Linked DNA regions of Ovis aries. The protein of the gene in region 2 purifies or fractionates together with the protein of the main gene of each other region. This does not show direct contact. Links are inferred from orthologs where the notes say so. Each region holds a gene or a part of one and is shown on either strand. Other genes may lie near its edges.

Region 1 (8,136 bases), on a different chromosome or scaffold from region 2:
CTCAAATTATTCAGTAAATAACTGGTGCATGAAAATTAAATTCTAGGAGTAAGAGGGAAGTAAAAGTCATCATGCCAAAGTCATTCATTCAGAGTAGGAGAGCTTCCTAGAGAGGGTGGGACTTGAGAAGGATCTTAAAAGATACAACTAGGCAGAAAATAAGGGAAAGGAAAGGGGAAGGAAACGGCAACCCACTCCAGTATTCTTGCCTGGAAAATCTCACAGAAAGAGAAGCCTGGTGGGCTATAGTTCATGGGGTCACAAAGAGTCTGAGTGAGTCATGACTGAGTGAGCACAAGGGAAAGGAAACTCCATGTCAGGGAAGGGCATGTCGAGAATAAAGAACAGTCACACAGGAACAAGGGGAGAGGAGGCATCAATTAATATACTAGTTTAGTCACTGAAAGATATTAATGGAGTAACTCACAATCTAGGGTAGAAGTCTGGACTAGAGAAGATCTAGTGAAGAAGGTGTGGCAGGGAAGTGGCATGAAATGTTAGTTCAGAAAGATGCCACAAAAACAGGGTTGAGTGAACTCCGCGTTTTGTCCCTCTCCATGATTCCCTCCTGGCTTCAAATTATCCTAGGAAGTCTGGCCCTTTTGGTATATTATTTCTACCAATCTCCTGTCAGCACTGGCAATGACCTCTCTACATTTACAAAGCTACTGAAACGATCTGAGTCTCAGTATCTTGTCTGTGTAACAAAAGTGAGATTAATCTAACCATTCACCTTTCTACATTTCTACATATAGGCTGCTGAGTGCAGATACAGAACAGGACACAGCTGTGCAAACTGGCGCCGTTCCAACTTACCACAGTTTTCAAGCTCTGCGTAGTTTTGGAGTCCTTTTGTCCCTTTTGTTCCCAGAGCAGCCAATTCTCACTATACCTAGCCTATCAGCAAAACCTTCTTCCTGCATAACAGCCAAAAACTGGAAACAATTCAAATGTTCGTCAGCTGATGAATGGACAAAAAATGTGATATGTCCTTACAGACTATTACTTGGCCATAAAAACATACGAATGCCACAAAATGGATGAACCTTGAAAATGTTATGTTAAATGAAAGGTGCAAAAGGCCACATATTATGACTCTATTTATAAGCAATGTCCAAAACAGGCAAATCCACAGAGAAAGTCAATTAGCGGTTGCTAGGAGCTAGGAGGAGGGGAGAAAGTAGAGAGACTGCTAAACAGCATAAGGTTTCTTTTAGAGGTGATGAAAATGTGTAGAATTACTGACAGACACACAACTCTATGAATATACTAGAAACCACTGAATTGTACACTTTAAAAAGATAAACTTTACTGTATGTGAATTATATCTGAAAACAGTTATTATCTTAAAAAAAAGATCAAAATCCTAATAGTCCCTACATGTTATGGTTGACATCTAGCACATAGATAGCATGCATTTTATTTCAACAAAACTGCCATTTCAGGGGAAAACAACTCTTCTTTAAGAGCTGACTCTAACTCCAACATCACAAAGAAAATATAGGCTATAAGAAAATTTCACATTTCTATATCCAGGTCTATGCATGTATCTATTAATACATCTACACTTACCCTCACCTTTCATCTTACTCTTTTAGACTTAATTCAATCTCGCTCATCTAAGATACTGATTTTTCAGCTGGTCGTCTTTTCTACCTACAGCCTAAGTATTTGTTTCTTTTTTTAAAATATATTTATTTACTTTTAAATAAGGGCTTCCCTGGTGGCTCAGACTGTCAAGAATCTGCCTACAATGCGGGAGACCTGAGTTCAGTCCCTGGGTCAGGAAGATCCCCTGGAGGAGGGCATGGCAATCCACTCTAGTATTCTTGCCTAGAGAATCCCCATGAACAGAGGAGCCTGGCAAGCTACAGTCCATGGGGTTGCAGAGTCAGACACAACTGAGTGACTAAGCACAGCATTTTTAAATGAAACAAAGATGAATATTTTTAATGTATAACCTGTATTTTAATTGCTCTCCAATTAGTTCCCATCTTTAAAAATAAGACAAAAATCCTTGATTCTGAGACCTCCCAGCTACCACCTTTCTTTGACACAGCACCAATTTCCTCCAAAGAAAACTGTTTAAAACTCTATTTCTCCTAGAATATCTTATTATGGAGAGACGTCAAAGGTCTCTGAAAATGAAAAATAATCAGCAAAACAAAGCTTTCTTACAAATTTAAAAGCAAAAAAATTTTAATGTTACCACACTAACTGAAAACAAATGGATGAGAATAATACAGGAATGTCATTGAAAGGAAAAATTTGGAAGACTTGGGAACTAACTATATATGGTAGGGTGAGGCACCAGGTTTTTCACTCTAATGTCTAGAATAGTGATAACTTAAGAACTGAGAAAATCTAGAAAGAAAACCTGTTTGACAACAGACGCGCTCAGCATCAGATTCTGGATCTGATAAGCTCAAAACAGCAGCGAGAGTTTTAACCAGAAATGTTTAGCAGGTAACTATTCAATCTCTGCTTGAAAATGAAGAGAGGTCAGAACTAGAGCTGTAGACCAGGAATCATTATCAGGAAGATCACAACTGAAGCTACAGAACTGCCTAGAATACAATAGTATATGGCAAAGACACTGATTAAGATGCAGCAGCAATGTCTCCACAAATGTCTGTGGCTCCCAATGGGACACGAATAGGAAGCCCTTCCCCTAGAATGGAGGAGTTGCAGTGGCATCCATTCAGCACAGAATGGTCAAGAACATCTGAAGACTGTTGAAGCACATCTCAAGACTACTTGAAGCACTGTTCAAGTAGTCTAGGCCAGGAGAAAGTAGGAAGCTCTTTCCTAGGGGTTGTAAATCCTTTCTCTAAAGGGAAGGCATAGAGATTTAAGGATATTACCTGGGGGGTGACAGCTCAGCCAGGCCTCCCCTTCGTCCTTCCTATGAAGAGAAACAAAAACGTAATTAGACTCACTCAATGTCAAAATGGATGTTATTGATGAAGGGGAGAAAGAACATATAATTTCCAGTTTAGCCAGAGCACTTACACAAATCAGTCTAATACGTTATCCAGGCATAGACAAACTTTATTGAAGAAATACTTATGGATTGTGTTTAATGCATAGACCTGTTAGTTAAGTGAAGCTCAAGTACTTCATCATGAAACACTTATTAGCTGCACTATCCTGGGCAACTTACTTCTTGATTCTGAACTTGTGTTCTTGCAAAGGTAGGTGGTCCTCAATAAATGCCAGTGTTCCTCCTATTACACATCTGGTGTTGTAGTAATAAGGTTTCTTTTCAGCCCACCTAGTAAGGCATAAGTTTCTTAAACTCAGGAGACTATGTTCCATTCATCTTCACCATTGTTTCCATTTTTAAAACCTATTAGTATAATAGTTGCCATTCATGGCACTGCTGTTGGAGAAGGAAACGGCAACCCACTCCAGTATTCTTGCCTTGGAAATCCCAAGGACAGAAGAGCCTGGCCGGCTGTAGTCCACGGCAGACACGACTTAGCGGCTGAACATCTCGGTACGGCTGTACTCATTCTGGTGCCTGGCAAAATAACTTGCACAGTATATGATACACAATAAATAAATGAATGGTTTGTTGTTCATTCCAATTAAGCTGTTAGCGTCTCAAAGGCAGAAACCACCCTTAAGTTTAGAGTACACATCTGAACTCCGCCGAGCATCTATTTAGGTCAGAGTCTGGACATGGTTTAAGTGTTACACTGTTCCCTGAAAAGACCTGTGAAGTGAAGTGAAGTGAAGTGAAAGTCGCTCAGTTGTGTCCGACTCTTTGCGACCCCATGGACTACACACAACATGACTAACACACCACTGGGAGAAGGCAATGGCACCCCACTCCAGTACTCTTGCCTGGAAAATCCTATGGACAGAGGAGCCTGGAAGGCTGCAGTCCATGGGGTCGCTGAGGGTCGGAAACTACTGAGCGGCTTCACTTTCACTTTTCACTTTCATGCATTGGAGAAGGAAATGGCAACCCACTCCAGTGTTCTTGCCTGGAGAATCCCAGGGACGGCGGAACCTGGTGGACTGCCGTCTATGGGGTCGCACAGAGTCGGACACGACTGAAGTGACTTAGCAGCAGGGGTCGAGAAGGATGCCAAGACTCCTGGTAATGCAGATTGCTGGGACTTTTGGAAATAGCTGATAAGTAAGTATTTGCTAAATGACCATGACTATTTGGCCAAGAGTCTTCCTGCCTCTCAGTTTTCCTGTCTTTCTCCAACTCATTGATGCTATTCTGCCTCTGCCATCACACGACGCATACGTGTTTCCTGGGATACATAACTCTTCTGAGAAGGAAAAACAATGACCATGTGGCTTTGAGACTTCTAGGCCCAGGGTTCCCTCAACAATTGATGAGGCAACCCCTATGGACATCCTGGGTCGGGGATGGCGCTCCTTAACGTAAAGGCAACATCCGCTACCCGCCTCCTATGTCCCAGTTCTGGACCTGGATTCACCTGAGAGCCTGGGCCCAGTCGCTCTGAATCCTCAAAGGTACCGCCATCTTGGCCCGCCTCCACCAGCCCGCCCCTTCCGCTCTCTCCCGGAAGTGGATGCCCCACAGAGCCTACGTCGAGAACGAAGGGCGGGATCTACCCGAAAAGCCGCTAATGGAAATACGTGATGTATTCTCCTTCTCTCCCCGCCCCTTTGCGCGCGCGCTCCTTGCAGGAAGCTGGTTCCTGACCCGAGGTTTACTGGGTAATTCGGTAGAGTTACAGCTGCCTGCGAAGCCGACGCCGCTGTGCAGCAGCGCGCGTTCGAGTCCTCCTGTCTGCCTGTTCGGTGAGCACTGTGTGCCGCGATCTTACGCGGTGAAGCCTAGCGGGCACAGCGCGGGCTCGCGAGTGCGCTTGCGTCCTCTCCGGAAGGTGGTGGTTTTAAGTAACTTGGCCGCTTGGGTTTTTCTGCTTACCCATCCTTTCAGTGCCTTCTTAGTCCAGGCTGGCCTTCGCGAACCAACTGCCGACCTTCCATCCTGCCCTGGTCTCTGAGCGAGGGTCTTCCACTTTTTACTCATGAGAGACTGAAGCCAGGTTGAGGTGGGGAATTAAGTCCTTTCGTAGCCCATGCACTTGTCCCTTATTAGCATCTTATTCCTTGCGGTAAAGTGAGTTAAATATTACCTTAAGAAGGAAGGAAACTAAGGGATTTCCTCTGTGGTCCAGTCGTTAAGATTGCCCTTCCGCTATAGGGGACACTATATAGTTCGTTTCCTGGTAGGGGAACTAAGATCCCACATGCCAAAAAAACGGGGGAAAAAAAAAAAAAAAAGGAATGCACGCTAAGGCTTGCGCATAGTAAAACGAGGTGCCAGTATTTGAATCCGGATTTCTTGGCTTAGAATCCACGGCACTGTTCTTTCCACCATATTGTTTCAAGAGGCTTGCCCTTGCCTTTAAAGAGCTCAGTATATTTAGAAAGAAGAAACATGTATAGTAATAGGAGTTATCATTTATTGAACTCTGGACGTGCCAGGCTCCTTACGTGCATTATCTCATTTAGTTTTCAGTCCTGTGAGATAGATTTGATGTGTGTTTTTCAAGAGAGATTATAAAGTGTAATTTGCTCAAAGCATCCCAGTGAGTCAGTGACCAGGCTAATTTTCCAATCCAAGTTTGTTTTCGAAGCCCATTTTCTCCCTCCTCCCTTGCCTTCAAAGCAAATGAATTTTGTGTAGGGCCAGTACTCTTGCCTGGAAAATTCCATGGACAGAGGAGCCTTGTAGGCTACTGACTATGGGGTCACAAAGAGTCGGACACGACTGAGTGACTTAACTTCACTTAACTTATAGAGTTCTTGGGCTCTCCCAGTGGCTCAAAATGTAAAGAATCTGCCTGTAATGCAGGAGATCTGGGTTCAATCCCTGGGTCAGGAAGATCCTTTGGAGAAGGAAATGGCAACTTGCTGCAGTATTCTTGCCTGGAGAAATCCATGGACAAAGAACCTGACGGGCTACAGTCCACGGAGTATCAGAGAGTCTGGACAGGACTGAGCGATTAACACTTTCACTTTCATAGAGTTCTTAAAACCTTTTTGTGACTTCCCCATTGCCCTCTTGACAACTTAACATGTGGTCTTCCTGTGATCAGATACTTTCTCAACTCATCACTTTCATTAATTTTCCTGTTCTCATACTCTATTCTCCAGTCATGTAAAACTTTCAGTTCATCTCATGTCAAATTCTGTCTCAAATCCCCACCCTGCTCTTCCATTGACTAGAAATATTCTTTACATCTCTGGCTCTTCCCTTTTCATCTTTCAAGTCTCAGTCTAGAAATCACTTTCTGCAAGAAAAGAAGGCTTCCCTGCCTGTTTGTCCCCTTGTCTGGCTTAGGTAGTCTCCACTGTCTTCCCAATTTTAGCTGTTTATAGACACTGTACACAAGTAATCAGCCTTTTAACTTACCTAAATTATAAACTCTATGAAGGCAGGAAGTGTATCTGTCTTGGTCACTCTTGTTTTCTCAACTCTAGCATAGAGCTTGGTACATGATAGATACTCAATGATAATTTGTTAAATGAATCAGAGACCCAGGAAAGGCATTAAGGAGTCTTAGCTTATTTATAGCCTGTCATGGTTAAATTTGTACAAAGGCTGAGTCATTTATCTTCAAACCTCTCTTAAGTTCCTTCTATATGCTACCTTGTGCTGGGTGCTCTGAAGCAGGTGATCGTGGAAAGGCAGTGTGGGCAAGTGCACCTCACATTAAGTATTCTCACACTTCACAAACTTAGTTCTTGCCCTGTACCTTGTATGCTCTTTTCTCCACACAACTCTCCATTCTCCCAAATGTCAAACCCTACCCATATATGGTTACTCTCTCAAGTACTAAACTCTGTTCTTCTCTAGCCATAGAATAAGGCTAATTGAAAAAAAGAAGATTGCTTCTCCAATAGGAGAACAGAGATAGCTTCCCCAGATATGTGACATTTCACCTAATTCCAATTCTATTAGTAGAACCCATTTGAGCTTATTAGTGCTGTGCTGAGCATTCTCACATACTTTATCTCATTCTGTTCAGTTGAGACCATTTTGCAAGCCTGGTGCTGGGGGTACCAGGATGAATCAGGCCCAGTGTTTGTCCTCAAATAGCTCACAATCTCCAAGGGGAGACATAGGCATAAATAGGCTATAACAGTGCAGTGGTAAGTGTTGTTTATAACAGAGGAACATATATAATCATGTCCCTACTCTAACCTTGCTCCCATTGATATTCTAGAGACTCCAGAAGATGTCAGCTCAAGGCCATGCCTGGTCCCGACAGGTGAAGAAGGAGGATGAAGAAGAGGACCCGCTGGACCAGCTCATCTCCCGCTCCGGCTGTGCTGCTTCCCACTATGCAGTGCAGGAGTGCATGGCCCAGCACCAGGACTGGAGGCAGTGCCAGCCACAGGTGCAGGCCTTCCGGGACTGCATGAGTGAACAGCAGGCAAGGCGACGGGAGGAACTGCAGAGGCTGAAAGAGCAAAGCAGCGCCCACCACTGAGACCCCAGACCACCTATCCCCAGAGGATGGCCCTGCAGAAACTAACACCCAGACAGATCATGGGAGAAAGAAATCCTGAACAGTGGAAGTTTGTGCCAAGAACTCTAAGACTTGGGGATAGTATTTGGGCCTGGGGCTGAGAGCCAGGCAGCCATGGGTTTGGACATGAGCTATCATATTGATATCCCACACATCCTCATCCATATTGTGTCACCAATATTAAATATTGACCAGTATTTGCCATGTAAAATAGTGGGGTTAAGGGATGCTCTCCTATGCTACATCTTGGGTCAGTGTGCCAAGTACTGTGCTGATTACATGGACATTTAATTTTAAAGTAAATTCACAATCTAAAGGTAAATTGGTTTTATGAGACCTCATGTGCCATGCACTGTGTAGGAAACTGATGTAATGCAAATATATCTCCCTTCATATTGCTTTAGTCTGGTTTGAGAGAGAAACAAAACACTGGAACAACTAATTTCTGATAATGATACAAATGACTTTGTCTTTCATCAGTTGTTCTGGATGTTTCAGTCAGTCTAATGGAAGGAAGAAGGCAAATGGGAAAACAAATACTAAGTGCCTCTCATATGTCAGACTCTGTTGTATTAACAGATACAGAGTCTGATTTCAACATGCT
Region 2 (8,136 bases):
TAGTGAGTATGCTTTGTTTATTTTGGAAAAGCATGCTATATCCTCTGAACCTGAGCACAAAAGATTCCATCATTACCTTTTCCCTGAGGTCCGGTCTTTCTAAGGCAATCATGCTGACATAGACGGTGTAAGTCACAAAGGTTTTATAATCCATGAGTTCATAGGATGTAAATGTTGAAACTGTGTCAAGGAAGAGTTCAGCTGCCTGTTTGAAATCACGAATAGCTACACAATAAAGACCTTGATATACTTTTAGGCGGTTCCTCCGGTCCCAATCTCCTCCTTCCTCTATCAAGCTATAAAATTAAAACAAAAGTCATACTCTGGAAATAAACAGTGCTTTTTGCAAGCTTTGTATTATTATTAAAGAGAGAAAAACTTGTCACAACTTAAACCAAAAACTAATATATAAAGAGAATAGTTTCCTAAATAAGTACATTAACTATTTGACCAAGTGTACCAGTTGGAAACAAAAGAAACAGATTTCTGCTATCAATTTCTTATCATAGCATCGCAATTTAGAGGGAATATATCCCCACCACTAAAACGTACGTTTTGGCCTTTTCTGTATTTCGAGTGATGAGGTCATTGTCCATGTAAAATAAACCAATTCTAAGGAGATAGAACACAATGTCCAGTCGGTGACCCAGCGCCACGGTTTTGTCATATGTCTTGCGAAAGGCTGTCAGAGCACCTTCCTGCCAAGAGAACAAAGCAAACAGGTGAGGAAAGGTTAGGTGTTGTGAAAGCTACAGCTTTTTCGGATTTTCTAAGCAAAAAGTGGGGGGGAGAGGTAGGCGTGGAGTCAGGAGAGTACAGCCGTGAGGTGGTAACTGCTGACGCTGGGTGGTACCTGTTCTCTCCACGCGTACAAAGTGTAAGAAATACATCAAAAAAAAAAAAAAAAGAGATACATCAAATGTGTCTAAGCATATACTTATATTCTAGGAAAAACCACCACATTCATAACTTGTTCACCACTGTTTCAGTATTCTTCTTTGTCCTATATATTCCATATTTTTCCTCTAACAATTACAATACGTTACTTTTACTCTCCTGTAAATTATCAATCCTAACAACTAAAGAGTATTAAAAAATTTTACCGTAATCACTCTTAGAATGCAACGGATTATTTGAATATACAGTTCCATCTCAAATCACTGTGGGACGGAAAGTTTTCACTGCTTTAAGAACATGAATATGGGAGACTCCCCTGGCAGCCCAGTTAGGATCAAGGCTCTGCGCTCCCGCTGCTGCGGGAATGGGCTCAACCCCCAGTTCAGGAACCAAGATCCCACAGGCTGTGTGATGTGGCCAGACAACAAAGAACAAAAAAACAACAACAAAGAAAAAAGAAGAAAGAAAACGAGGTGAGCCTGTGACATCCTGTTGTATGAGAAAATAGGGAAGACCACTGAGATCATGTCAAAAGGACAAAAAATCCATCTTAAGGGAACTTACACTAACAAATCTGTAACAAACTGAGCACCAAAAATACTAATGACTGAGATCAATACAGCACAGTGAGAAATAAAAATCCACCAAGTCGATTATTTAGTAACTAAAATAAAATATTAAAAAAGTAGGGCTTCCCTGGTGGCGCAGTGGGTAAGGATCCACCTGCCAACGCTAGACACACGGGTTCGATCCCTGGTCTGGGAGGATCCACGCGTGCCACACGGCAACTAGACCAGTGCGACACAACTGCTGAGGCGGAGAGCCCTGGAGTCCACGCTCCTCAAGAGAAGTCACCACAACAAGAAGTGGCCCCTGCTCGCTGCAGCTAGAGAAAGCCCACACAGCAGCGAAGACGCAGCACAGCCACCGGCAAAGATTAGACAGACAATAAACTGGAGGAAAAGAAAACTCTTCATTTTAGAAGAGTGCTATTTCATTAACATGGACTACATTATTAGAACATCACCAATGGACAAAATGTGGATTCAAGCATATCCTTGTTGAAATTCCTCAAGGCCTGAATTGAAAGCTCTACGTTTCTCATTCATTCATAATACTGCATCCTGTTTAAAACCAAACCAAAGCAAAGCACACACACCACCTACAAAAGCCACAAACTATTAGCTATATTTTAAACTGTCCCGTATTTTTCAACTTTTACAATGACCAGATCTTAAATCTATAGTCAGCAGGGGGAAAAAACAAAAACAAAAAAAACTTATGTTAAATTTAAATAATAATAGTTCAGATCATTTAACATTTCAGCACTTTGCCAAGGTACCAGTCTAACTCCTGTGCCCCTGGGAACTATCATTATTCCTATTTAATAGCTGAGGAAACTCATCCAGTTAAGTAAATCATGATTACTGAAGCCAGAAACAGAACTCAGGCAATCTGACCCAAGAGTCCATAGTATTCAATTTTTTAAAGTTAATGCCATGTTATCCATTATCGAAACACTTCAGGGTACACTGCTTACAATTAAGGACATCCAAAGCCATCCTCTTAACCACTATTATACAATAACTAGGTTAAAAAATTTAAAAGACCCAATACTTGCAGGTGCCCCTCTTATGCCCTGATAGTATAAGTTAGGTTGGCTGCTGGGCTGAAGAACAGTCACAGACAAAGACTGTTCTCTGTCCCTGAGATTTCATCTCAGCATACACGCTGGAGAGACAAGCATATACACAGAGGCACACACAAGCATATTTTTACAACAGCAGCCTATCTTAGCAAAAACAGCTGAAAACACCACACAGGTCCAACCACTGAATAGCTAAATAAAGCGCAACATCACCCTACTACAATGGGCTACTAACCAGCAGTCAACCAGAATAAGCAAGAGCTAAGCACACTAACATGGATGGTCGCGCAGACAGAATTTTGAAAGAAAAACTAAACAGGACTGCATGAGGACACCTTGATACACTTTAAAACAACCTTTTTAAACCAATACTGCCTAATTTCTACAAGTACATCCATGTGACTACAAATGTACAATAAGAGAATTAAAAGATAATATCTCAGGAGGCAGAAAAAAAGAAAGAGCAAATAAAACTTCAGCATTAACTCTAAGATTTTAGTTTCTTACAAGGAGACAATTACTTGCCTAAACAGTAATTTTTAAAATGCACCAGAACCAATGCTTCCCAACCAAGACACGTTACGAAAGTAAACTACAGAAAACATCCAGGTTTGGCAAGATCAGCAGACAAGGATGTCTGCACACGCACTTCTCTGAATCACAGGGAGAGATGGGGAAGAATACACACCAGGCTGCTGTCTGGGGGGCCGATGAGAGCAACAGTGTAGAGAAAACTATTCACTTTTTCTTCATTTCTGCACTGACTCACTAGCTCAGGTAAGCAGATTACCTGTGCAGTTTTTGGAAGGGGGTAGTTAATGTTTAAAATGAGACCCTGAACAGTGCCCATTTCAGGCTACACACACAGGAGAGACCACCTCACCCACCTTGTCGCCTATCCGGCAGAGGTACTCGGCCTTTGCCATCATCGCGTCTCGGATTTCGCTCTCCCCCAGATTCTTCTCTGCATCCTCCAGCTCCTCATCCAAACGTTTCAACTCGTCTTCGTTTGCCTTCTTCATTTTGTTGAGCAGGTCTACGTCCATCTGCCACTCCAGGGACTTACACAGGGCTTCGTAATAAGGAGCCATGTCTGAGAGAGAGCAAGAGGGGTGTGACTTAAGCGTGGGCCCCCCACCCCTACTCCACCCCCATCTTCCTCCCACACAAGCTGTGAAGTCGTCCGCCGGACCCCTGCCCACTAGCAGGAAAGGGCTGGGCACCACGAGGTGCTTGCTACTGGGAGGCCAGCATCAGGACCAGGCCTGTCACCGCCGCCCTCTCCTAGGGCCGGGGATAGGGCAACCCTCGGCTTTTTCACAGCCACACACACCTCAGACTCGTGCACTTAAGGCTATAGCGTCCGCTGCCATCACTACTGGGAAGGGCAGAAGGAACCGATGCCAAGTTTCCCCTCCACCGGCAATGCTAAAGTCCCCGAGAGCAGTCGCTAATGACAAGTAGCCCTGTCTCTGGCTCGGGGCTCAACACCTCGGGATCCCCCCAACCTGGTCCCAAGGCGGGAGGCGCACAGAGCCGCACACCACTCTGAAAGCCTGGAGGTGCTGAGAAAATGAAAGCCCCGAGGTGCGGATAAGCCAGGTCTGCTCTCGGGGTCCCCGTCGGGGTAAACCCCTCAGGCTCGGGAGCGCGGGGCCGCCCGGGCCTAGGCCGCTGACTCGGCGCTCCCGCGGGCCTCACTGTTATCGCGGACGGCTGCCATCAGCTCGTCGCGGACCGCCGCGTCCCCGCGGTGCTCGGGCAGGCTGAGCAGGAAGCGCAGCTGCGCGATGCGCAGGTCCGGGTTCTTGGGCAGACCCTCCTCTTCCAGGTTCTCCAGCGGCATCTCGGCAGCGACAACAGCGGTTCCGAACAGACGGCAACTCACAGCCGAGACCGGCGGCGGCGGCGGCGGCGGCGGGGGAAGTAGGAGGAGACTCCGACTGCGCCAGGACGCCTCCAGCTCGGCTTCCGGTCCCAGCTCCGCCTCCGCCCGCAGCGCCCCTTGCTGGACACTCCCGTATATGCTCACCCGTCCCCGCGGTTTTCCCCCACTCTCAGCTAGGAGAGTCCCAGGGAGGGTGGTACCCACCTCCAAAGTTGGATTTCCTGAACCACTTTCTCCCTCCATTTTTTAGCTATTTCATTTTCCAATCCGTTTGTAATTAAGAGACTGGCAATCTTGAGAATTTTGAAACTATAATAATAACAACAGTAACAACCACCACAACAAAAAACAACCACTACAGTTGTCTAGGCCTTACTCTTCCCCTTTTACCTTTCTTCTTGTACCCATTTCTTAAAAAAATATAGAAGCATAGTTGCTGTACAATATTATATAAGCTTTAAAGGCTATACTCCATTTATAGTGGGCTTCCCGGGTGGCTCAATGATAAAGAGTCCACCTGCAATGCAGCAGATGTGGGTTTGATCCCTGGGTTGGAAAGATCCCCTGAAGGAGGAAATGGCAACCCACTCCAGTATTCTTGCCTGGGAAATCCCACTGACAGAGGAGCCTGGCGGCTGCAGTCCATACAATGGCAAAAGAGTCAAATGTGACTTAGCAATTAAACAACAACTCCATTTATAGTTATTATTTTTTTTTAAATAGGCTGTATTCCCCGTGTTGTACAACAGATCCTTGTAGCTTATTTTATACCTAATGGTCTGTACCTCTCACTCCCCTCTCCTGAATGCCCTTCAATTCTCTCTCCCCACTGGTAACCACTAGTTTGTTCTCTCTATCTGTGAAGACTTCCACTTTTATGTGGAACTCATGTTAATTCTCTTAACACTAGGAAGTAGTACTATCACCCCATCTTGTAGATACGGAAAACAAAGCACAAATAAGTTAGGGAACATGATCAACCAAGGTTATGCAATGTCTACGTCTGAATGAAAACCTCTGCCTGGAGCTCTAAAATCCGTGTTCCTTCCATGATTCTCAGAAAGTGGCTCCCAGAGTTCCAGTCTTAACACCATAGCACCACAGCTTTATTCATAATTTAAAGCGTCGCATGCCTATATTTTCAGCCTCTTTTTGTTCATATTGCTACAGTCTTCAGTACTGGTAAAGGTTACATGAAATTTCACCTAGTGGGTTTTCGTAATTTACTTACTCTCCCTTCCATTAGAAATGCCTTTAGGTTGTCTAAGGTTGTTATCTTCCTATTATAAAAACCAAGGTGAACACCTTGGAATGCACAGGGTATTTTGTATTTTACATTTTTTTCCCCTTAGCATAAATTCCCATGCAGGGTTGATAGGCACAAAGAAGACATGCTTTGTGATTTTCAGATATTGAATATTAAATGCTTTTCAGAGAGACTTAAACCATTTACACAGCTACTGAACCATTTGCAACTGTCACATTCTCACCAGCAGAAGGCATTACCATATGTTTTTAATATTGTGTCTGTTTTTGGTAAAAAAATAAATATCTTGAAGGCAACTCAAATGACAGAGAAAATGCTGAGAACACAGGAAAAATCACCAACACTCCTCCATGTTAAACTTATGGAGCTTCCCAGGCGGTGCAATGGTAAAGAATCTGCCTGCCAGTGAAGGAAACGCAAGAGACATGGGTTTGATCCCTGAGTTGAGAAAATCCCCTGGAGTAGGAGATAGCAACCCACTCCATATTCTTGCCTGGGAAATCTCAAGAACAGAGAAGCCTGGCAGGCTACAGTCCATTGGACTGCAAAGAGTCAGACAGGACTGAGCGACCAAGTGCCCTAAGGACAAAGAACCTTGTAAACCTCTTTCATTCATTCATTCAACAAACATTATTGCAAGGTTGCAAAGTACCAGGCACAGACATAGCCCCTAACACAGCAGTGAAGAAAATGTGGGCCCTGTCTGCATGGAACTTACACTCTAGACACTTAGTTTCACTGAAACTCATCTAGGTTACATATTAATAGGCTCGTTTTGAACTTGTACCTTATGAACTGCTTTCTTCACTCACTATGTAGGGTGGGTGTCTTTTCATGCCAGTAAATATGGATTGACATCATCACTTCTAATGACTACACAGGAGGCCATTACTTGTATGTAATCCTTAACTCCTATCAGTCTGAATATTTTTCATTTTCTCACCCTCATTTTCAGATACCACCAAGTTGATCCATCTATGTGCATATGTTTTCACATTTGGTTTGTTATTCCTTATCTCAAATCTCTAGAAGTGAAACTATTAATTAACAGGGTCTGTACATTTTATATTTTGACATAGTAGATAAGGATTATATAAATTATTTTTCTACAAATTAAATACCAACTCACATTCTCACCAACATTAAACAGAGAGCCTGTCTCCCTCTCTGCCAAGACCTTTTCTTCACCCATTTTAATCTTCAGCAACAAAACGTGTTTTGCTTTCCATTACATTTCTCTTATTATTGTGAGGTTGAATTTCTTTTCACATTTGTGCTGACCTCTTTTTTCCTGTTTGCTGAAACTCCTACCTTGCTTTATCAATTCCTCTACATAATCTTCCGTATTGATCTCCGAGCACTCTTCATATCTTCAGGATATAACTGCTTGTCAAGAAATGCAAAACTTCCTATAGTCATTTTTTACATTTTTAATGAATTTTTTCAATGTAGATGTTTATAATGTTTATACAGTTAAATTTATGATTCTTTTCCTTTATGCTCCATGAAAGCATTATCAAGTCCTATTAAGACCTTTCCAACACCATGGTTTTAAAAATATTCACCCATGTTTTCCTCTGGCATATTGATGCATTTCTCTTTTGTTTTTTGTTGCTTTCTGCACTTAAATCTTTGATCCATCTGGAACGTTCATCTAAAGAGAAATGTATATCATATTTAAAATATTTTTACAACTTACTTGAAAAAAAAAATTTCTAGCCCAGAATCTATTACTTGACCAAAGATTTGACAGCAAAGAATATTTCTAACTAGCTCTATCTGAATGAAATAAGCCTGTCCCCAAATGCCTCTCAGGAGTACCCCTCTGTCATGTGACCCAAAGCTGATCAGATGAAGTGAAGCTGAAGGATACTGGCACATTGGCTGGTTGGCAGGTCATGACTCATCTGGCTTGTCTCAGCTCAAGCTGGTTGGGAAAACTCTGTTTTCTCCTGGAGAATCTGAATTGGGAAACTCCCTGAGGGTGTTCAGACAGTAGCAGTCAGGACAGCCACCACCTGAATAAGAGTCTGAGAAAGAGAGAATAGTAAAAACTGAGATATTCTAGAACTGAAGCACAGGGCATCTCTAGGTGGAAAGAATCCACTGAGTAGTCAGCAATACGGACCTTTTTTTTTAAAGATACCTCTCTCTGAAAACTTAGAACAATGAATACAAAGAGAGAATTCCAAAGGTTTTCAAAGAAAATGAGAATTCCCTGGCGGTCCAGGGGTTAAGACTTGGCACTTTGTCTACCGTGGCCCGGGGTTCAATCCTTGGTTTGGGAACTAAGATCCCACAAGCTGCAGCGTAGCCAAGAATAGAATAGAATAGAATGGCCAACACTTGAAAAAAAATAGTGAAATAAAAGGTCACTTGGAAATGAGTAAGAATCAGAATGACTTGTATTTTCTGAAGTGTGACACTGTGGGCCAG

What was found.
Region 1: the proteins of PSMD6 (region 2) and PAAF1 purify together in Homo sapiens (affinity purification with mass spectrometry; 3 studies listed by BioGRID and IntAct, with this or other methods). This does not show direct contact. The link is inferred for Ovis aries from reciprocal best matches to the Homo sapiens genes PSMD6 and PAAF1.

Annotation. Positions count from the first base shown.
Region 1 is NC_056068.1:52,056,916-52,065,051, reverse strand, and holds the start of PAAF1 (proteasomal ATPase-associated factor 1), read right to left. Parts: upstream 4,530-8,136; 5' UTR 4,508-4,529; coding exon of another isoform or gene 4,461-4,507; intron 4,148-4,460; exon of another isoform or gene 3,981-4,147; intron 3,536-3,980; 5' UTR 3,516-3,535; coding exon 3,424-3,515; intron 3,275-3,423; coding exon 3,164-3,274; intron 2,906-3,163; coding exon 2,865-2,905; intron 936-2,864; exon of another isoform or gene 817-935; intron 1-816. Other genes in the region: cytochrome c oxidase assembly factor 4 homolog, mitochondrial, read left to right, coding at 7,239-7,493. UniProt on the Homo sapiens protein: Inhibits proteasome 26S assembly and proteolytic activity by impairing the association of the 19S regulatory complex with the 20S core.
Region 2 is NC_056072.1:37,546,519-37,554,654, reverse strand, and holds the start of PSMD6 (26S proteasome non-ATPase regulatory subunit 6), read right to left. Parts: upstream 4,444-8,136; 5' UTR 4,392-4,443; coding exon 4,247-4,391; exon of another isoform or gene 3,879-4,246; intron 3,639-3,878; coding exon 3,433-3,638; intron 699-3,432; coding exon 553-698; intron 297-552; coding exon 77-296; intron 1-76.